Elephas maximus indicus: one gene and its partners. The protein of the gene in region 2 interacts with the protein of the main gene of each other region in a pairwise test. Links are inferred from orthologs where the notes say so. Each region holds a gene or a part of one and is shown on either strand. Other genes may lie near its edges.

Region 1 (7,318 bases), on a different chromosome or scaffold from region 2:
CCAGGGCACCCACCCTCTGCCTGGATGCCCATCCCTTACCTGAGGCCCATCCGCCACCCAGCTGGCCATCCCTTCCCCACGTCCCCACCCCCTGCTCCTGCGCACGCAGGACACTGGAGCAGGGCTGGCCCACTCATGCTCTGGGATGCTGGGTAGGGCATCACCCTTTCTGGTCTTAAGAACAAAGAAACTGGGGAAGGAAAGGGGCCCAGGCAGCCTGACGGCGCCACCCCTGCAGCTCCTCACTGGCAAACAGCCCCAGGTCCCCACCTCGTCCCCCCCCTCCCGGGGCTGTGTACCGATCTCGCCCTGCATGTGCTGCTGGGACGCAGAGGGACAAGACCTCATCCCCAGCCTACAATCAAGAATGCCATACAAAGTGTAACAACAATGGCTGCATTTATTGAGCAACTACTGTGTGCTGAGCAGCAGGGAAGCACCAAGCAGGCCAGAGGAGCTTCGTGCCCAGGGCCCTTTCCTACATGCCCACACCTGGCCACACTGCTGCCCTCCCCAGAGTGCAGTGCTGGTCAACAGGACACACTGGTCCCAAGACGCAGGGGAGGCGCAGAGGACAGGTCCCAGCCACTCAGCCAGGCAGCTGAGTGCAGGGGCTGCTGGATTTGCTAAGGCCCACCAAAGTGGCACCCCGAGCTCAGCAGTTCTCACCCAAGCACTTTCTGATTGCTTCTCCCCCTGCACCATGTCCTCAGCACGGGGCCCAGGTCCCCAGGGCAGGCCAGCCTTTCCTGCCTTTCTGGACTGCTCCACGCAGTCCCTGCATGAGACGACCCATGACTCCCTCAAACTTCTAGACCCTCTTTTCATTTGTTTCTTGTCTCGAACACCCCCAAAACGCACACACCCACTTAACAAAAGCACTCCCACTGACAAAGCCAGTGTCATCCACCCTTAGTATGTCCTGAGCCCTCACCCTGCCCAGGAGCTCAGGAGACTGCAAACAGAAAGTAGCCCAGGAGCTCAAGCTATGGGTCAAACTGCTATATTGGCCATATGCCAACCAAAGAGAGAGAAGGCATCTGAGTAGGGCCTTGAAGGTGGCATAGGACTTTGCCTAACAGAATCCCACCGACAGATACGCTCTGAGAACAAGGCGTACACCTCCTGCTTCTTCGCCACCACCCTTGGTTTTCCTCAACGCCCCCAACGCATACCTACGACCACACATTGCAAACACCACACTCTGAATGCAAGGCACAGACTGTCACACCCCCCCAGGCAACCCAGTAAAACAGCTCTGGGGGCACGGACTCACTGTCAAAACGCACAGGCAGGAGGATGTGGACTGCCGACTGGACAGGTCAAGCCAGCTGCCAGCCCATTTTTGAGGGTCTGAAGGTAGGCTCTCCTCTTTCTGACCACTGTGTTTGGGGGTGGCCGCACTAACACACATGCTTGCCTGGAGAAGTTGGGGGGCAGGAAGCCAAAGATGGAATGACGATTGTGCTTATCAGAGATAAGCTCCCCAAAACCAGGGTGCCAGGAGCCCCTCTCAACTGCCAAAACATGCCCAGCCCTCTGCCTAGCCAAGTGTCCCAAGGTCAGTGTCATGGTTGGAGAGGGCCCTGGAGCTCCACTGTGTGGGTTCGACTCCCAGCTCTACAACTTACCAGGCAGGCACTTAACCTCTCTATGCCTCAGCTTCCTTACCTATAAAGCAGAAGAGATAGTAAGCACCTGGAAGAACAGAACGAATAAAGACTTGGACAACTGTTAGAACCTGGCTGGTACGCAATAAGCACTACAGTAATGTTTATTACACAATTAAAACGCCACACTCTGAGATCTGCATTTCTACTGCTTCTCAATCTGCTGAGGCTCCTTGTTTGTTAAAATCATTGAACACCTAACGCCAGCTAATGTAGTAACGTTTATACGACGACAAGTCACAGACTGAGGGCCACCTCCACGAGGACCCAGCAGATTACCAAAGAACACAGGGCACAGTCAGCAAAGTGCACCCCGAAGGAAAATTGGACGCTCCTGGGAACCCGCAGGAAGAATGATAACGGAATCAAAAGTTCAGAAAAGAAAACGATGTAGCTACAAATGACGTTGTGGAGATTAAAGCGGAATGCCTGCCTCGGATTCCCTTCTGAGCGAGTCTTCTAATAAGAAACAATAAGACATCCCAAGTCTCCCTTTCAAAACTACAGGCTTTTGTCTAAAAAGCATTTGTTAAACACGTTCCTAAGCCTAGATCAATGATATCCCTAGAAAACTGCAGTGCCAAGCTTGTAAAACGAGAAGGAACGCTGTGAGGCAAATCTACAAAGTTTCTGTTAGCTGAAAAAGCAGGCCAGGGTGTCACGCTAAAAAGAATGTTACATGCGAGTACGAGGTGGTGGCGCACTGGTGAGCAAGTGGACTTCACGCGCGGGGCTTCGGGGACGAGATCCCCACACTTTGCTCCGACCCTTCCTGGCTCCAAGCGTCAGCACCTTTGTGAAAAGGCTGCGTGCCGCCCCAGCCATGCACCCCAGGCCCACCCGGCCCCTCTCCACTCGCCAACGTGCGAGCAGAAGCAAGTGGCCGCCGCCGCTTCGCCACCCAGGTTGCAACCGAGCGCGATCAGCCCTGCTCCTGCCCGGCCCCGAGACACCCTGTCCCCAGCCCCGCGGGCGGCGGCACCCTGTCCCCGGCACCCTGTCCCCGGCATGACCCGGGCTGGCTCCGGCAAGCACCGCGGACACCGGCTGCGTCCTGGGGAACCGGGCACCCCCGCACCCACCCGGGCCGGCGCGCCCCCCACAAAGTTGGCGCAGGCGGCGCGCCTCGGCGGTCGCACCCGAGAGCGTTGCGAGGGGCGCGGGGGGCGGCCTCGGTGCGGCAGCGCCCGCGCTTTGTTCCGGCCCTGCGCCCCCCGCGCCCGCCCCGGCCCGCGGCCCACCTTCTGGATGGTCTGCTGCGTGACCTCGCCTTTGCCTCTCGGTCGGGCGGACGCGAAGGCCACGGACATGGTGGCAGAGGTTCAGCCCTGGCTCATGGGGCTTATTCTCTGGCCGCGCGCGGCGTCCGAGGACGCTCTGTCTCCGCAGCGGTGGGGGCGGGGCGGGCGGGGGGCGCCGCGCGGTGGGCTCGCCCGGGCCGCCGCCTCCGCCTCGTACCCCGGCCTGCCCGTCCACCGCCCCGCGCGCCGCCGATCCTATCTCAGCGCCCCGCGCCGTGCGCTCCGCCGCCTGTCCCGCGCGCCGCACCCGCCGTCGCCGCTCTCGCCGCGCTCCCCCGCGCCCGCCGTGGTGCGCTCCGGACGCCCTCCCACGCCTTACGCCAGCAGCGTAGGCCTCCGTCGGCAGCGTAGCCGTGCGATGGCGCCGTAAGCCTCCGTCGGCGGGTCAGCCGAGCAGCGCAGTCGTAGGCTTCCGTCGGCGGCGTAGCCATGCGTCGGCAGCGTAGGCCGTAGCCCGGCGTGGTGCGTCGGCCGCAGCGGCGCATGAGTGTGCGCTTTTGAGGACGCGCGCGGGCGGTCTCCCCTACCTGCTGGGGCGCAGCGGGCAGTCTCCGGAGCAGGCCGTGCCAGGCCCGGCCATGAGCTACGACCGCGCTATCACCGTCTTCTCGCCCGACGGCCACCTCTTCCAAGTGGAGTACGCACAGGAGGCCGTAAAGAAGGGCTCCACCGCGGTAAGACCGGCCGGGTCGAGGCCTGCGCGAGCCCGGGGATCGAGGCGGAAGTGGGCCGCGCGGGGGCCGGGGCTCCTGGCGGTTTTCGCGGAGGGTGCGTGCCCCGGACCCCGAAGGGAGAACGAGCAGGGCCGCGCCCTGGGCCGGGGTCGACGGCAGGTGTGCGCCCCGAAACCCGCGGGGAGGGTCAGTGGGCCGAGCCGTGGGCCGGGAATTTCCCGGGGCGTGCGCGCCCGGAGCCCGCCGGGATGGGGCTGGGGGATCCCAGGAAGCCTACGGGGGAGCGCAGGGAGGATTCCCGGGGAGGGCTGCGCTTCGGGCTGTGCCGGGGTCCCGGAAGGGTGGTGCTCGGGAAGCTGCCGTGTGTCCCGCTGCCTGCGTCCTGGAGGCAGGCGCGGCGGGTGCGGTGGTCCGGGGCGCGGCGGCGGGTGCTGGGGGCTCGGGAAGCGGCGCGTTCTCGTGCGGGCGGCGGCGCTTTCCCCGGTACGCGCCTTAAACCTTGGCGCGGCGCGGCAGCTCTGCCTTCGCTGCCCTGCTTTGGTCGAGCCGCTGTGCTGATCCCTCTTTGTATTCGGGGGCGTGTGTGGTGGGCTCGCTGTTTTAACTGAGCATAGTGGCGTAGTGGTTAATTGCTACGGCTGCTAACCAAAAGGTCGGCAGTTCAAGTCCACCAGGTGCTCCTTGGAAACTCAATGGGGCAGTTCTACTCTGTCCTATAGAGTCGCTATGAGTCGGAATCGACTCGAGAGCAGTGGGTTTGGTTTTAGGTTGTTTTAGTGGTAGGAGTGGAGCGCACGGAAGCAACGACGCCGCTGTTCGAAAGGAAAACGGAGGAGGAACCGCGTTTGTGATTTGAGGCCTTGGGCCTGCGGTGTCAGTGGCTTTCTGCTGTTTGGGTGGAGAGCGAGCCAGGACTGAGCGGCTTGTTTATTTCTCAGAGGTTGAGTAGGCCGGGGACGTACAGCGTTGGTAACTGAAAGAAATATCGGCAGATGTTTGCCCACGGTTTTTGACAGGCGTTTTCACAAACAGCGGAGTTCCGGGAAGGGGGTGGAAACTTAAGGAGGGTTGCTTATCTTTCATTGCAGCGGAGTGCCCCCCTGAGCCCCGCGCGATGCTGGCAGTGTGACGGCCATCTTGGCGTGGTCACCATTGCACTGGGCGGGACTGCGGCGGGGGTGTGGCTGGCCCACGCACTGCAGGGGCGCAGATGGGCTCTCAGGGCTGGCTCCTGCAGGCTTCCTTGGTGCGCTGGAGCAACGATACTCAGCCAGCTCCGAGTTATGGGGGTCTCCTCCACTAGGGAAATGAGTTGTCTCCAAAGGACCTGGTGGGCTTGGAGAACAAAAAGCTGCTGGCTCCCAGTGTCAGCAATGCAGGGCCTGGGCAGGTGCGTCCCTGGATCTGACCATTAGGCCACAGAAGCCCGACCCAATCTGAGTCAGCCCGCGCCTCAGCTTACACCACGCTGGGCCTCAGCTCACACCACACAGGGCCGTTTTGATGTGCAGGGAGCTTAGAGACAGCACGTGACGCTGCCGTCCGTTTGTCACTGCAAATTCTCTGCCAGTTTTTCACTTCAAGCCCAGCACTGGGGAGGTTGGAGCTGCAGAGCAGAGGCAACCCGTGCGGTGCTATGCGTTTCCTTTTCATTTCTTGAAGTTTTAGCTGTTTAGAAATGAAGGCCCCAAATCTTACCTGTTGGCTTAGCTCCTGCAAACCAGTCCATTTCTCTGGGAGTGGTCAGGTAGTTCTGAACTGGGGGCACTTTTTCCTCCGGAGGCATTTGGCAATTTTAAGACACATTTTTGGTATCTAAATTTTTAAGGAGGTGGAGGGGTACTATCATCCAGTGGGTAGAGGCCAGGGGTGCTGCTAATCTCCCTACAGTGCCCGCACAGCTGCCCACAGAGTCATCTAGCCAGAGCGTCAGCAGTGCTGGGTGTTGGGAGGCTCCGCTCAGAAATAACCAGGGCTGTTATCTCTCTGAGAGTTGTCCCGTTGTGTTTGCTTCTGTCTCAGTGGGGACGGAACTGAGGTTCTCTCTTTGGAACAATGGCCACATCATCTCCTGTCTACCCTCCCAACAACAGCTGACACCTTTGTCCCCAATGGCAAGTCCTCACACAGCCAGGTGCATTAGCACACGGCACTGCTGGGACAGGCACAATGGGTTGTTCGTAATTTCACAACTTAGAAACGTTCGTTTCAGAATACCTAACTTCACTGTTAAGGAGCACTTGTGGTATGATGGTTAAACGCTCAGCGGCTATCCAAGAGGTAGTGGCTTGAACCCACCAGCGGTTGCACAGGAGAGAGATCTGGCAATCTGCTCCTGTAAAGATCACAGCCTAGGAAACTATGGGGCAAGTCTACTCTGTCTCATGGGGTCACTATAAGTCAGAATTGACTTGATGGCACCCAACGACATTAAGGGCAACTGTTTAACTCATTAGATTTAAATAACGCATATGCTAATTATATAGTAATTTAGTTACGTTATGATTGAACTCTCAGTATTTTAAAAGCATGGCGTCGGGCATTTTAGGTTAGAGTACCTGGATAACCTCTGTTTAGGTGCTGTCGAGTCCATCCTGACTCATAGCGACCCCATGTGCAACAGAACAAAACACTACTCGGTCCTCCGACATCCTTGCGATCACTGCTTTGTTTGAGCTCACTGTTGCAGCCACTGAGTCAGTCCATCTCATTGAGAGTCATCCTCTTTCTCACTGATCTCTACTTTACCAAACACGATGTCCCTGTCCAGGGGCTGGTCCTTTCTGATAATATGTCCAATGTAAGTGAAATGAACTCTTGCCATCCTCGCTTCCGAGGAGCACTCTGGCTGTACTTTCTCTAAGACAGATCTGTTCTGCCTCCTGGCAGTCCACGGTATATTCGTTATTCTTTGCCAACACCATAATTCAAGGGCATCAGTTCTTCTTCCGTCTTCCTTATTCATTGTCCAGCTTTTGGATCCGTATGAGGCGATTGAAAACACCATGACTTGGATCAGGCGCACCTTAGTCCTCAAAGTGACCTCTTTGATTTTTAACACTTTGAAGAGGTCTTTGCATCCGATTTGCCCAATACAATGCGTCTTTTGATTTCCTGACTGCTGCTTCCATGGGTGTTGATTGTGGATCCAAGTAAAATAAAATCCTTGACAACTTCAGTCTTTTCCCCCTTTATTGTGATGTTTCTTACTGGTCCAGTTGTGAGGATTTTTGTCTTCTTTGTGTTAAAGTGTAATCCATCCGGAAGGCTGTACCTTCTGCTCCTCATCAGTAAGGGCTTCAAGTCCTCTTCACTTTCAGCTAGTTCTGCCAATAAAGAGCCGATACCCAGGGTTGGCAGGGTGTGTTGCTGACTGTAGTGGCGGGCACATGGAGGAGGGCAGGCTGTGCCTGGCACACCTGGTGAGGTGAGGGCTGCTGCTTCGCCTGGTGGCAGAACCTCAGTCACTGTATTAAGCGGTTTGTTGATTTTTATTGAAGGTTGGCGTACGAGGAAGAGAAATTGTTGTTCTTGGAGTGGAAAAGAAATCTGTGGCCAAACTGCAGGATGAGAGAACGGTGCGGAAGATCTGTGCTTTGGATGACAATGTCTGCATGGCGTTTGCAGGTACCAGTCTCAGGACAGGGCTTTGTTCCTTGAGGTCCAGCAAAGA
Region 2 (7,481 bases):
GCTTGCATTACTTAGGTTACACTCTCACTGAATTACAGGTAACAGCTCAAACTTGATTTTCATTGTATTACAGAAAGCTTCCTCATAACAAAACACTTTCAATTCCAAGGGTAAGTCCAACCTTCCATCATTCTGCCCATTTAGGAACTACAACAAAAAAAAAACAGATTCTGAATATTGGATATCTTTGTGTGATCAACTGTGAAAGCCATGGAAATAATCTGTTTGCTAGCTAAAATCTGAAGCTTGAACAAAGACAAAATTATTTTGATCCTATTGGTGCCAATTTTATCCTCTTTACACCTCTCCCCGTTTTTTCTCAGCCCAACTCTAATCAACAGCCACTTCAGGCTTAACATATCACAGTTAATGCAATTAAGTCCAAAAAACTATTTCCCTAAAGATGTTTCCTCCATTCACACCCCTCTCTACCTTCCATCTTCACCATTCTGCCAAGAGAATAAACATATCGCTAAGCTTTAAAACAAATTTCTGATGAATAGATAATGTTTCTGTGGTTAATGCAATGTGCCCATATCAACACCATCCCCTAAAACGTAAGATAAAAATGACTCGACACGCTTATTTATCTACATCTGACAGGTTTCTAATCACCTAAAATCCTTTAGGAGAAAATCCAATCTACAGAAATACAGTCCAGTTATTTTTAATCTTATCAAGTAACATCAAAAGAGAATCAAATGAAAAACTCCATCAGTACCAAACCATCCCACCAATGAATATTTATGACATTTCCATACTTCCTGTCTTCTCTCTGTTTACATAAAGCAGTGGTGCCAAGACTCATCTCAAGATTATTAGCCTGCAATACAATGATGGGCCTAATTGCCTTGCAAACCAGGACACCAATAAATGGAGTCTTCAAGCAATCAATTTCAAGGGGTGGGGGGTGGGGGGGGAAGGCCCAAGCTCTTTCTGCATACTTGCACAGACATTGCCTGCCTAGGAAATAAATCTGGCCTCATATTTTTCAGTCTCATTCATCAGTTCTCAAGCAAAGAACACTCCCTTAACGATCTCAATCTCATCAAACCTATTTAAATTCCAAACTCCAGGACTAGTTTTTAAGTGCACCAGGGAAAGGCAAAGGCGGAGACATCATACAGAAAGATATCTACCACATTCCATTTTTATCTTCTCCCATCTTCAGTTTGGGCGTGGATTTTCCCAACTTTCTTTTTATGATATATAAATAACAGAAAGAAGATGCCTTCCCTTCCTTAATTCTACCCTAACTGAAATCTTTATTAACTTTACTGGCCTCTGGGTTGACTTCACTTCTAAGTGTGATACTGATGTAAACAAAACAAACAAAAAAATCAAACAGCTTAAGACATCCTCTAGGAAAGATAGTCTTTAAAATACCTTTTCTGTCCCCTGCCAAGTCCCCTCTTAACAACCCTCTGATTACTGTCCCTCCTCCAGTCACAGCCACAAGAGCTATCCATTTAAGTGTTCCAACCCCTAACCCTCTTGTGTCTCTTGGAGGCCACCTCAATCCCTCCCCCTCCAGAATCACCCAACCCACCTCATCCCAGCACTGCTCACTGCGTCCTCCATCCCTACAACTCCTGGTCTCCCACCCCCTAAATCTGATGGACACTCCTTAAATTTCCCCTCTGCCACTTCACTATCATTAGCCACCTCTCCGGTCTTACCAGCTTGTCTCAGACATTCCTTCTTCAAAACTCCCTCTGACACCTTGACCAAAGGATGTCTTCTTCAACATACCATCCCCCAACCCTGTTCACCACCTGCCACTATTCTTTCAGTGAGTCCAGCCCAGCAGCTTCTTCTGTGCCCTCTGCCTCAACCCTGCACCTAGGGAGCCATCATGCCTCTGCCAGCGATTCTAAAATCACCCTAAATTCCATTCTACTGTGCTCCCCCCTCTCAGTTTCAATCCTTGTCAGCCCACTTCGGGCCTAACTCCAACTCCCCCCCTCCTCCCTGCCCCCCCCCCCCGCGAGCTCACCATCATACTCCCCTCATTGGAAGTCCCACCCCCTATTTCACCCTCATCAGCCCATCCCGGGAAAACCCCAAATTCCACCCCCTCTGCTCTATCCCAACCTCTGCTATTCCATAAGAAAAAAAAAAAGGCTCCATAAATTCCACATACCCCAGATAACAAACACCCACTTAAGGCTTAGGTCCCAATCCATGCCAAACCCCTCATCCCCAGCTCCTACCATCTCCATCAGCCTGCCCCGGGTCCATCCCAAATTCCACCCTCCGGAATCAACACCCCCCCACCAGGGTCCTATCCCAACCCTGTACATCCCACTCTCCATTGAAAGCATCCCCCTATCTCCTACCCCAGCTCAGATCCCAAGCTGTCAACTGTTCCAGGCCAACCCCAAATCCACCACCCTCATTCAGTCCCCTCCCCCATTAAAAGCCAACCCACTCCAGTCTTATCTTCCATCTCGCCCCCGAGACCATCCCAAATTCCACCTTGACCCCCCACTCCACACTCCTGTCCTAGTTCTGGTCATTCCCCATTAAAAGTCTCCCTTCCCTTGTCGCCCCCCAACCTGCTTGGGTCCCACCCTCACCCCACCCCCAGCCCGCGCCTGGGCAAGTCTCCCCCTCCAGCCTGCCGTTCCACAGCGACCTTAGCTCCCTCCCCCAAACCCACCCAGGGGCTCCGCAGCCCCCACTCTCATTATCCCCAGTAACACACCAGCCCAGACTCAGGACAAGCGGACCAGGTGGGGGGGGGAGTGGAGGATTTCCTCACCGGCGAGAGACTGCAAGCGAAAACGGCGGCTGCTGAAGCGGCGATACCCTTGTCTTCTCTGGCGGCTGCAGCGGTGACGCTCTCACTCCCTCGCCCGTCTGTGGGGTGGCCGATGGCGCGCAGGGACTGGGAGCCTCCTCCTCTTCAGCAACTCGGCTCTGAATCCTCTGCAGTAGCGGCGGAGGAGACCGACGGGTTGGGGGAGGGGACGCTCGGATGCAGGCGAAAGAGGAGGGGGCGGAGGACCGCTGAGAAGGGTGGGGAAGGAGGAGCCGGCGCGGCGCCACGACACGTCCCACCGCCTCAGTGTGCCAGGACCACAACTCCCGGCATGCCCTGCTTCACCTGCACCTACCCCCGCGCACGAAGTGAGGAGGCACTGTGTTTTCCCGGTCCGGAACAATGGAATAAAGTCAACCATCCGCGTGTGGCTATTGTAGACTCAAAGACCACATGTGAGGGAAGTCAGGGTGTCCGCAGCCCCATCGCCAAGTGGCGAGGCTCCTGGCGTCTCCACACGCCTCCCAACACACACACACACACACAAAAAAGCCTCTCGCCGGACTACATTTCCCAGCGTTCTCACGCCCTCCGGCCCGCTTTCCGTACCAGTCTCAGACCCTGTACAACTACAGTTCCCGAGGAGTGTGGTCACTGCGAAATGCTGGGAGATGCAGTTCTTAGTTCTTCCTCCATGTTAAGAGCAAGAAGTGAAAGAGGAAAAAGGGAAGGACCGTGCCAACCCACCGAGGACAGGTCTAAGTGGGCTAAATCACCTGTGAGTCTGTACTTGCCATCTCTGTTTCCACTGTCTCACAGCAGAACAAATGCAGCAGCTTCCTCACTGATCTCCCTGCAAATCTGACGACGGTTTGGCAATTTGAATACAAAAGTAAAAAGGGCATACTTCTTGACCCAGTTCCATTACATCTAAGAATTTACCTTAAAATTGTCATCGAGCCACTAAATTGTACATTTAAAAAATGGTTAAAATGGTAAATGTTAAGTATATTGTACCACAAAAAAAAATTGAAACAATTTGGAAAAGATGAATGCACAAAATTGTTCTATGAGGTTGTGGATTATAGAGGGGAGGAAGGTAAATGTCCATCAACAGGGAGCTGGTTAAATAAATTATGATATATACCTACAAGGCAGTACTAAGTAGCCATTAAAAATGATAATATCTGTTTATTGGCATGAAAGGTTATCCACAATTTATCCTTGAGGAAAAAATTGATTACAGAGTAGCATGTTTCGGATGGTCCAATTTATGTGAAGTCTAAAACAATATTCTATAAGCACAGAGAGATTTTACTGGAGGCTCCCTTTGTTGGAGGAAAGGGTATCAGATTTCAAGTAATTCTTATTTTCATGTTGTCTGATTTGTTTAAAAGGAGCACATACCATATTTTTGAAACCTTAAGACTGTATTCAGTTTCCAAATCCAACAACCTCTATGCTGCCTGAAAGCTTTGCATGGCTCCCCATTGCTGTCAGTAGTGCTCCAGGACTATTGCCTTTTTTTTTTTTTTTTTTTTTTCTTTTCTTTTCTCTCTCTCTGTGAGCTCCGCAGTTCATGATTAAAGCCAGTAGTGTTGGCCACTTACAATTCACAAAAGAACGTTAAATTAGTAGGAAGAATTTTCTCACTTTTCAATGCCTCTTGTCAAAATTTTCCTCCTTTTGGCACCTGTGTGTCCATCTACCCTAGAATACCGTATCAGATGATCTAATTTAGCACAAATTGTATATTTACAGTATTTTTTATTGTATATGTCATTCTTTGGTGTTCTGCAAGGAACACAAGGCCATTCAAGCTGCACCACTGAGCCCACTGGAGAATCGCAGGCCTGTAGGAGGAAGTCCAGGATATCTAGCTCAGAAGATAGCTTAGTCCAAAATCCTACTGCAACCTATTCCTCCAGCTTCACCCGATAGTCAGTTCCTTTTCTGAGAATAGTGAGAAAAGTACTTATGACATGATGGCTATGTGACACGCAAGTCCCTTTCCCTCTCCAAGTATTGCATTGATGGTCCCCTCTTCTAAACCCTGTTTTCACTTCTTTTCCCCACTTCACCCAGTTGGCAGAAAGTGGAAGGCTGCATGGTCAAATTTAGAAGGGTTCTGGTCTTTCCAGGAGTAAAGCATTATCTGAGTTAGATATGAAGAAGCTGAATGAACTGGGAGGAGCCCTAGTGGCACAAATGCTTAACCATTCAGCTGCTAGCCAAAAGTTGGTGGTTCGAACCCACACAGCACCTCTGCAGAAGAAAGAGCTAGCAATCTATTTCTGCAGAGATTACAGCCCAGAAAACCTTACAACTCTACTATTGCATGGGGTTGCTATGAGTTGGAATTGACTCAATGACACCCAACAACAGCTATAGTGGACTAGGAATCTTGGTAAACAAATAATTTATAAGGATCAGCACAAAGCTGGTTCCTATGAGTTGGAGGTTAAAGATGTCCCAAATGTCTAACTTTTCCAAGCTGCTGTATTACTCCATTATTTCTAACATTGAACTACTCCCTCTTGGGTCAGCAATCTCACTCTGTCTTTGGGTTCCCTGATTTCTTGCAACATCTGACAGAACTCACAGACCGTATAGAGGAAATGGCTCACAAGATTTTGGAGGCTGCCAAATCCCAAATTCGTAGGTTAGGCATAGACTTTCCCCTGGCCTTCAGTCTCTGCTCAGAGGCACTCAGCTTTCTTGCCCTGTGAGCCAGGATGTCCACTGTGCCATCTCCTGCGGGTCCCTCTTTCTTCAGTGGTGGTGGGCTCTCCTCTTTGTTCTAGAATTTGGTCTCTTTTAAGGCAGAACTGACCAATCACCTCGTTAGGCCACAATTACCCTATCACACAATCACCTGGGTGGGAGTTACAAGACCATGGCTATTAAGGCCACACACAAAAGTAATTAATTTACCACAGGCTACCCCCTGGCTTTTCTAGTCATGATTCTTTCATATTTGGAGGATAACTTCTCCCTCCCAATCATTTTACCTCTCCAAAACAGTCATTAACAATTAGTCCTTCAACAGGGCAAAGAGTCCAAAGTGTAAGTTTACTCAGGTACCAGCCATCAAGGTCTGCTGCAGGTTTTCATCTGTTCTGGTCAGGTGCTCCAAAAGTCATCTAGTCTTCACACATTCTGGTCTCTGATAAAATTCAACTGAGAGAAGATTATTTATTCCCTTGCTCTGAGTCTCTCTCAAGATATCAGTATAGTGTTAGGTTTCCCCTGCTGCATAACCCATTTATTCATTCCTTTACCTTCAGCTATTATTTCTCCTTCCTTCTATTTGTCATTTATTTTTACCCAAACTTTTCCACCTTGGGAAGGAACAGTAGGTTCAGCTGCTGTGCTAGTCCAGACTGCAGGTAGCAAGACCAATCTAGCAAGTGCTTCTCCCTCAGTCCACTCCCGTTTATGTTGGATAAGGTTACATAGGTACAACACTAGTGGACTATCTTGCCCACGAGGCAATACAGCAATATTCACTGTCAACCCCAATTTTGCCAGATGGGGGGAAAGTATAATCCATCCCTTCAGACCCTTGGGAATTCTGACATACATGTTTAGGAATATAGTTACAGTCTCTTGCTTAAGGATCACCCCTGCTTTTGGCACCCACAGCTGCATCCCTGGTCCTGGAACCACAACATTCGGCAGGCAAAAAAGAAGAACTGTACAGTGGCACCAGCATCCTCTCCCACCCTGTCTTCCCCAAATCCCCCAGAGAAGCTTAGGAGTCTGTCCTGTGGTGATTCTCCCTTTGTCCCCCTCATGCTGAGTATGATGACACACTCATGAAGGCATGTGACCCAGCCCTTCATGCCTTTGGATAACAAATGTTTCCATTGGCCATTCCAGTTCTCTATCAAACCATTACTGTGAGAGTGGTATGCAACATGGTGTGTCCATTTAATATGATGTTTCTTGGCCCGTTACTCCACCCTGTGGGCTGTAAAGTGTGTTCCTTGGTCTGAAGAAATACAACTTGGTGGCCCAAATTGGTACAGTATCTTTCGCTCCAATCCCTTAATGGTATTTTTGGCATTTGCATCTGTCGCGGGATATCCAAAGCCCAGTCCAGAGTAAGTATTCCTGTGGGAACCCATTTGTAGCAACTTCGTGCCACTGGCATCATTGGTCGAATATAGTCAACTTGCCAGCTATGTGCAGGGCCTTCTCCTCGGGGAATCTGCCCTATAGCCATCTGGAACCTCTGTCTTCCTTGCTGGCAGACAGAGCAGTCCTTATTTTAGCATTTTGTGCTTCAGAGGGTGCAAGGGGAATGTGTCTAGATTCGGCCCATCTTGCATTCCTGCAGTACCCCTATGTCTGCTCATTTCATGGGCCCAATTGGCCACTTCAAGTGAGAATACCAACTTGCTGATTCCACCTGCTGATTCCAGTCACCTTCTGATCCAGGAAGGGGGTTTTTGTGATGGACATTGACATAGCCTACTCTGATGTGCCCTCTACATTCCCAGAGTGCTTTCTGTAGGCTCATGCCCCGCACAGGTGTCCCCTTAATAGTCCAATATTCCATAGCCCATTTGCCTGACCATATAGCTAGGCCATTGGCCACTGCCCACGAAATCGGTAAAAATCCAAATATATGTGCTCTCACCATTGCAGAATTCTTCCATCACTGCTAGGAAGACAACATGCAGTTTGGCCCATTGAGCTGACCTGTTCTTAC
Region 3 (7,437 bases), on a different chromosome or scaffold from region 2:
TGTTCAACCATCGCCATTACCCATCTCCAAATTTCACCATCACCCTTAACAGCAGCTCAGTACCTCGGAAACGTGCCTCCCCATCCCCCCACCCCGTTAACCACTAAGAAGCTTTAGTCTCTGCCTTTGTCTATTCTAGATATTTCAATATATGTGGGATCATCAATATTCTTCCTTTTGTGTCTGACTTGTTTCACTTAGCTAATGTTTCAAGGTTCGTGCACGTTGTAGCATGTATCAGATCTTCATTTCTCTTTATGGGTGAATAATCGTCCATTGTATGGATCTTCTACATTTTGTTTATCCATTCATCTGTTGATGGACACTTGGGTTGTTTTCTCCTTTTGTTGACTGTGAGTAATGCTGCGATGAATGTAGGTGTTCACAAGCCTTTCACAGGTGGAGTTGGGATGAGTGCGATGCGAAGGGAACAGAAAAACAGGACAAAGTCCCTATTTTTATAAATGCATGCATTAAGTTTTTGTTTGTTACTGGTTTATTCACAAATGGCCACATAGATTATCACCAAATCTGGCGGGTGGTTCTGGGAAGAACTGGCTGAAAATAAGACCTGGTAATATTCATAGCATTGACTGAGGAGGTTCAGGGGGCTCTCATTTTTTTTGCCTTTTGCACCAAGTGTTGTAGCACATCACTTAAAAATATTTCAAAAAGTTGATCAAAGACATTTACGCATTGACACATTGCTATCACATCTTTCACAGGATGCGGCAGGATGGGGGCTCCCCCTTTATTCCTGCAATGATTGATTCTCATTTTTCCACTTCCTGTAGTCTCCCACAAGAAATTATTCTAGGCAAAATGCTGCCATCTAGAAGATGAACAAATCTTCATCCTCCTTCAGCAAGGAGTAAAAAGTGAGAATTGTGAGAAAATTAAAAACCCAATCAGAGAGAACAACGGCCTGAGGTCCTCCTGGGAGAGGCCCAAACCCAAAAAATCCCAGTGCCCTCGCGTCGATTCTGACTCATAGCAACCCTATAGGACAGGCAGCTTTTTTAAATACAGACAAAATTGATGCCCTGGCTCAGAAAGGTGGGGTAACTTGCTCAAGGTTACAGAGCAAACAGGTGGCAGAGCCCAAGTCTGGCTGACCTTGAGGCTGGGGCTCTTTTCCTCATCAAAGCTTCTAGAACTTACCCTGCAAATACCTCTAATGGCAGAGGAGAGTGAATTCAGAACTTTAGGAGCTGGTATGCAGGCTTGACAAGGAACTCAGAATAACTTTGTGTTTCATTTGAAAGTTTTACGTAAGCAAATTTGCATTCTATTTTGTAAGACTTTGCTCTAGTGCCAAAATCATGTTTCCTTGAGTAAAATAGATAGCCCCGGAAGCTGCTCCATGTTTACACTGCACTACAGGTTCTGCCTGGCAGAGCTCCGTGGACCCCTGGGACCTTGAAGGAGACACCCAGCGCCCAGCACTTATACCCCCCCTTGCCATTTTTCATCATCTGTAAACACGGGTTCAAGTTTCAGGAAACTCTTACCGACCACTCCAAGGCCACGCTCCAAGGCCATGCTCTTCTGCGCTTTGTTCTCCAGGGTTCCAGAGAATTTCTAGGGACCACAAAACCCTAAACACTTCCAATTTTCAAGTCTTGGGGGGACAGTTGTTGGTGGGCTCATACAGGCTCTTGGCACTGCTCAGTCTACTTAGTCGAGGCCCCACTGTCTGGGATCCGGCTCTCCTACCCACCCAGCTGAGCAGGCAGGAACTTCACCATCACCCTAGGCCCTCTCTGTCCTGCCACCCCACACCCAGCCCACCAGCAAGTCCTGACCATGTCACCTCCTGCTCCTGGAAAGCATTCACTTCTCCCCATCTCCACAGTTCTCCCTAGTCCAGCCACTCTCATCTCTGACCTGCATGACGATCTGGTCTCCTGTGCCACCCAGGACTCCAAGGGGGGCTAACTCTAACTCTTATCCTTTCTGACCTTGGCCAGCAGTGACAAAGTACACTAACTGGTATGGGAACAAGTTTTCCAGACCAAGGTTCTAGGCTCTAATGTGAAGGGGTAAGGACAGTCTGGAGGACTCAGGTGGATATTCAGTGGGGCAGGCACTCTGCAAGGAAGTGAAGCGATTTACAACGTAGGAGACCTGGTCCTCTCCTAACTAGAGAGCCAGGAAGAAGCCAGATTTGTTACAGACTACATAAAGTACATTTTCCCCTGGCAGAGTGGTTAAGAGCTCGGCTGTTAACCAAAAGGTTGGCAGTTCGAATCCACCAGCCACTCCTTGGAAACCCCATGGGGCAGTTATATTCTGTCCTGTAGGGTAGCTATGAGTCAGAACGACGGCAGCTTTTTTATTCGAGCTTTGCTGAAACTCAAATGACTGAGCACATTTACAGAGATTCTAGATAAGACTGTGTTTTTGTTTTTAAAGACTTTGCTGCTAAAAATTTTTAACTGCCCAGATTGTCCAGCCTTCTCACTGAGTGAGGAACCAGAGGCCCAGAGAAGGCCTGCAGTTGCCTGGGGCCACACAGCAGGGACCATCAGAGCCCAAGGCCACTTGGGGACTCCAGTCCAGTGTTCCTTCCACAAAGCAATGACAGCAGGTTTGGAGCTGCCTTGGCCTGCGCTGGGAAGGACAGGGGGCTGAGGTCTCAGGGCTTAGTGTGGCCCAGCGCCAAGGGGCCTGGAAGCCTCAGCTCACTCGGCCTCCTCCTCCCAGAGACCTCAAAGGCCTCAGGGGCCAGACCCCAGACAAAGGCCTCCACAGCCAAGGCTCCTCACCTGCACCCCACATGAACCCCGAAGGGCCACACCTGGCTCAGTCACTCCCCCACCAGACAGCCCCACAGAACCCAAACAAGTCTGGAGGAAGCACTGGACAAGGCATCAGAAGTCCCAGGACACAACCCAGCCGGGCCACTTCCCAGCTGAGACATGCTGGGTCGGTCCTGTCACTTCTCTGAGCCTTGGCTTCCTCTGCCGCAAAAAACAAAGCAGAGACCCTCCAAAACAAGCAAGGGCATGGGAGTAGACAGCCCCTACAGTCCTGTGCACGGTTCCTTGGCAGAGCACATTCAAAACCAGCTCTGGAGTCAGGCTGCCTGGGATTGAATCCCACCTGGATGCTATGTGATCTTGGGCAAGGAGCTTAATCTGTCTGTGCCTCAGTTTCCTCATCTGTAAAACAGAGATAATAATAGACTTACCGTGGAAGTACAAATGGTTAAGTGCTCGACAACAATTCGAAGTTACCCAGAGGCACCTCAGAAGAAAGGCCTGGCGATCTGCTTCCGAAAGGCCACAGCCTTGAAAACCCCATGCAGCGGTTCCGCTTTGGACACATGGAGTTGCCGTGAGTCGGAATCAACTCAACAGCAACTAACGACAACAACCCCCAGAAACTAGCTGTGAGAATGAAGTAGGATAATACACGGTTTAACACTTAGGGCGCTCCCTGACACGTAGTAAGTGCTCAATAAAAGTTGGCTATTGTTTGGTCCGTGGTAGGTATGAGTCCACTGCTGCGGTTATCATTATTGTTTCTTGAGCCTCGGTTGGCCTCCTTTCCTCCCCTCCCCCAAGTAAATGACAAACACTTGAAGCCACAGGTGTTTGTCTACCTAAGAACCTACTCTGGTGCCTGGGGCTGGGAGTAGGGCGTGTGGAAGTGGACGACTCGGTGAACACTCAAGGGAGTATTCATGCTCGTAAAACGGGTGTACACCACGCGCTGGAGCCTCCACACGAAGCAGACCCCTCCAGAGGCCAGGGGTTGGTGAACGCATCTTTGGATGATAAACACGTTTGGAGTCTGGTAGTAATGAGCTTGTCCGCAGCCTGAGTCACCCAGACCCGGTTCACCGCCTGTGCCCCATATACATCCATACAATACCAGAACCACAAAGTCAACCAGCCGGGAAATTCATTCATTCAACAAGTTGTAATTGGATGCCTGGAAACCTACTAATTCATGAGCTGGAAGAAGGGGAGCTATTATTTAGAAGCTACACAGGGACAGGTGGTTAACTTAATGTTATTGGACACGTGTTTCCTCGTGCCTTGTCCTCTGATCTTGAGCAAACTATACTTATGTGACATTGTTTATGAATTTATGAGGGCCAGCTCATCTTTCAGAAGACCTCACTTCGCAGTTTTTGTCAAAAGTCCTTCAGCCTTTACAACCGAAGACCTGTCTTTCTAGGTTGGGCGAACTCCTTTGCTAGTTAAAAGCTTTCTGTGTGTTTAAAAGGGGGAGGGATCCTGTCAAATGAGCCATAAAGCATAGGCTGAAGAAACGTGAAGTCCCACCCACTTTCTGTGACGTCCTGAGCCCCGGTTTCTGATTGCCCGCTTCAGACGTCAATCGCGGGGCGTGTGTCTTGCTGGGACACAGTGGAGGTCTACCCTCTGGTTTGCGGGGCGGTCGGGTGTATTCTCCGCACACCCCCCCTCGCGCTCCAGGCCCTGTCGCCCGACCCAACCGTGGAGCTGGCTAGTGCCTCCGCCGCGCCCTCCCGCACCGGATCGCTCCTCGCTGGGGCGGGACCTGGCTCCTGTCACTATGGTCAGTGGTCTTGGGGGAAAAGGGGGAAGGGGGGTTGGGGAGGGGGCTCGGGGGGCGGGGTCGCCACCCGGGCGCATGTGCACTTGCGGGACTGGGTACCAGCGCGAGGCTCAGCCCCCACGTCGTCCTCGCGACGTTCGGACCCCCGGGGGTACAGAGTCCAGGCGGATGCCGGGGGACCCCGTCCTTCCTCGGACGCGCCCCGTTGTCCACTGCGGAGGCCCAGTGAAGGGGAGCCAGCCCGGCCCCGAGGACCCCCACCCTCAGCGGGTCCGTCCCGGGTGACCCCGAAGGTGTCGTTCTCATAGCACAAGGTAGGCGCCTCGGCGGAGCGGGGGCAGGGGACTCCAGGGCTAGGGATCGCCTCCTCTTCTGTATGTAGTCCCCCATCCGACAGCCCACGACCCCACACACCCCATGGCTCAGCCGCCAGAACCCCTCCCAGGCCCGCCCCCCCGAGGGTGGACCTAGGGCTTGCACTGGTGGCCGGCTTGCCTGTTCCCTGAGCGGCTGCACATTCGCTGGGGGTTGGGGCCCACGTGGAGAGGCTGCCTCAAGTTTTGAGACACTGAGTTAGGGTTCCAGGTGAAGCAAAGACTAGACTCAGATCCCGTTGGAGCACAAAGGACCCCAGAGACCCTCTGAGCCAGGCCCAAAAGTGGAAAAGTGGGAAAACTGAGGCCCAGGTGGGGAATGGGCTAGCACTGACTGCGATGGACCTAGAACTAAACCCAAGCCTCTGGACTCCCAGTCCAGTGTTCTCTGTGTTACATCAGGCCACTTGCCAGGTTGCAGGGGACTGGATAAGTTGGTCCCTAAAACCCTCCAACCCTGAGCCCCTCTGCTCCAGGGAACCTATACAGTACAAGGGCAGACAGCCTGGACTGGGGTCACACAGCCTGAGGTTCAAAGCTCGCCTCCACCCCTTAGTAACTGAGAGGCTTTGGTCAGCCATCTCCCTGCCCAGTGCTGTTTGGACCATCTGGATAATGGGCCGCTGGAGGACCACATGATGTGTGTGGCACGCTTGGCCCCAGGTAATTAGCTACATTCGGCTTTTCACAGGGCAGTTCTACTCTGTCCTATAGGGTCGCAGTGGTTTGGTGGGTTTCCTGTGCCAACAAAGTCCTGGAAATGAGTGTTCACAGGCACCTGGGTCACAGCCTGGTCATGACTTGCCATGTTCTGGTTGTGGCGTGGACAGGTGGCTGCCCTGGACAAACCAGCCTGCCACTGGGGAGGTACCAGCTTCCTACTTCCATACTGTGCCAAAGGGGTCACCTGGCTCTGCTGCTCCTGGAAGGGGACCCAGGTGTTTTCACCTCATCCACAGGAAGTGCTGGGAAGTGGACTAATGATGGGTTTGGCCACCCAGGATCTGAAGGCTGGCTGCCACCGAGGAACTCTCATGAGAGCGTGACAGGGACAATAGGAGCTGGGACCCCACCTTCTGCCTTGTGTGCTGCACAGCAAGGCCTCTGACACCACTCTGCCCACCTGGCCTAACTCAGGAGACTGGAAGTCAGAGGGCAGGTGGGGTCAAAGGCACAGCAGGGACACCTAATCCAGCTCCCCCCGCCGCCCCATCAGTGGAGGCTTGGGCTCCTCGGAGGTGGATAAAGTGGCTACCCGTTCAACAGCACAGCAGTCTCGGATCACGTGGGGTGGAGGCTGTGTTGGCCTGTTTGTGTCTACCCACGAAGCATTTATTGAGCATCTGCTGTGTACCAGGCACCATGCTGGGGCTGTGTGGCGGTCTTTTGTGTATGAGTCCACGTGGTATGGATGGGATGGAGTGTGCGTGTGTGATGGGCAGAGGAGTTTAACAAAATGTCTTTGGAAAATATAGCATCTTCTTTCCTTTCCCACTTCAAAGTCCCTTGGCTAAGCTTGAGGCAAGGTGCCAGTCAGAAGACACAAAGCCCCTTGGGAGGGCAGAAGAAGGGTGAGTGAGGGCCAGGCCTGGGGCTGTCACTGGCAGGGGCTGTAGACAGTGAGGGGTCTTGTCCTTGCGCAGGGTGCAGGTAATGCTTGTTGAATGAATAAGTGAGTATCAGGCATGGACAGCCAAACCACAGGTCCTCCTTTCATGTCTCAGACAAGCCCCTTGTAGGCACCCTCAAAGGCTGGGGCCCTGCCCTCTCTAGGACCTCGTTGTCTGGACAGACACACAGCAGCCCCTGACTATTGATCATGAACGAAGAGGCCTGACCAAGGGCTTTGGGAGCGCAGCAGGAAGCCAGTAGGAAGTGTTGGAGAAGGCTTCATGAGGAGGACTTTTGAGCTGGGCATTGAAGGATGTATAGGAGTGTGTAAGATGGATTTGGGGAAGACTGCACCCCAGCTCCGGACAGTATGCTTAAAGACCTGGAAACATGGTCAAGAGTGGGATATTCTGGGAAAGGCCAGCAGCCTGTGTGGATGCAGGGAGGGAGGGAAGAGGAATCTAGAAAAATATTAGGTGGGGTCAGAATGTGCCACACTGTGGAGTTTGGGTTTTATTCTGAAGATAAGGAGAATCATTAGAGATGTTTGATAAGTAAGAGACGGTTGACTTGGAAGACCTCTCTGGCAATGGACGTGGGGTTGGAGGTGGCCAGGCGGGAGTCAGAGACCAGCTCACCCATTTGTTCACTCATTCTCTTGGTATACGTTTTTGGAGCCTCACTGTGTGCCAGGCACCAGGGATCTGGCCACAACAGACAGATACAGCAAAGCCCCTGGCCTCATGGATTGACATCTAGTGGAGGGAGACAGACAGTATGCAGGTGGGCAAGTGAACCCATGGTCCAGATAATGCTCTGAAGAAATAAAACAGGGTAAGGTGATAGGGATGGGGAGGGACAACTTAGGCCCAGGATGGTCAGGGAAGGCCTCTCTGTGTTA

What was found.
Region 1: the proteins of FAM168A (region 2) and SS18L1 interact in binary tests that used the Homo sapiens proteins (3 or more experiments, as listed by UniProt). The two-hybrid records come from large-scale screens. The link is inferred for Elephas maximus indicus from reciprocal best matches to the Homo sapiens genes FAM168A and SS18L1.
Region 3: the proteins of FAM168A (region 2) and OTUB2 interact in binary tests that used the Homo sapiens proteins (3 or more experiments, as listed by UniProt). The two-hybrid records come from large-scale screens. The link is inferred for Elephas maximus indicus from reciprocal best matches to the Homo sapiens genes FAM168A and OTUB2.

Annotation. Positions count from the first base shown.
Region 1 is NC_064843.1:5,783,316-5,790,633, forward strand, and holds the start of SS18L1 (calcium-responsive transactivator), read right to left. Parts: upstream 3,037-7,318; 5' UTR 2,981-3,036; coding exon 2,912-2,980; intron 2,517-2,911; exon of another isoform or gene 1,632-2,516; intron 1-1,631. Other genes in the region: PSMA7 (proteasome subunit alpha type-7), read left to right, coding at 3,550-3,645, 7,146-7,272. UniProt on the Homo sapiens protein: Transcriptional activator which is required for calcium-dependent dendritic growth and branching in cortical neurons. Recruits CREB-binding protein (CREBBP) to nuclear bodies.
Region 2 is NC_064825.1:48,877,682-48,885,162, reverse strand, and holds the start of FAM168A (protein FAM168A), read right to left. Parts: upstream 3,088-7,481; 5' UTR 2,765-3,087; intron 1-2,764.
Region 3 is NC_064828.1:107,601,802-107,609,238, forward strand, and holds the start of OTUB2 (ubiquitin thioesterase OTUB2), read left to right. Parts: upstream 1-4,357; 5' UTR 4,358-4,548; coding exon 4,549-4,551; intron 4,552-7,437. UniProt on the Homo sapiens protein: Hydrolase that can remove conjugated ubiquitin from proteins in vitro and may therefore play an important regulatory role at the level of protein turnover by preventing degradation.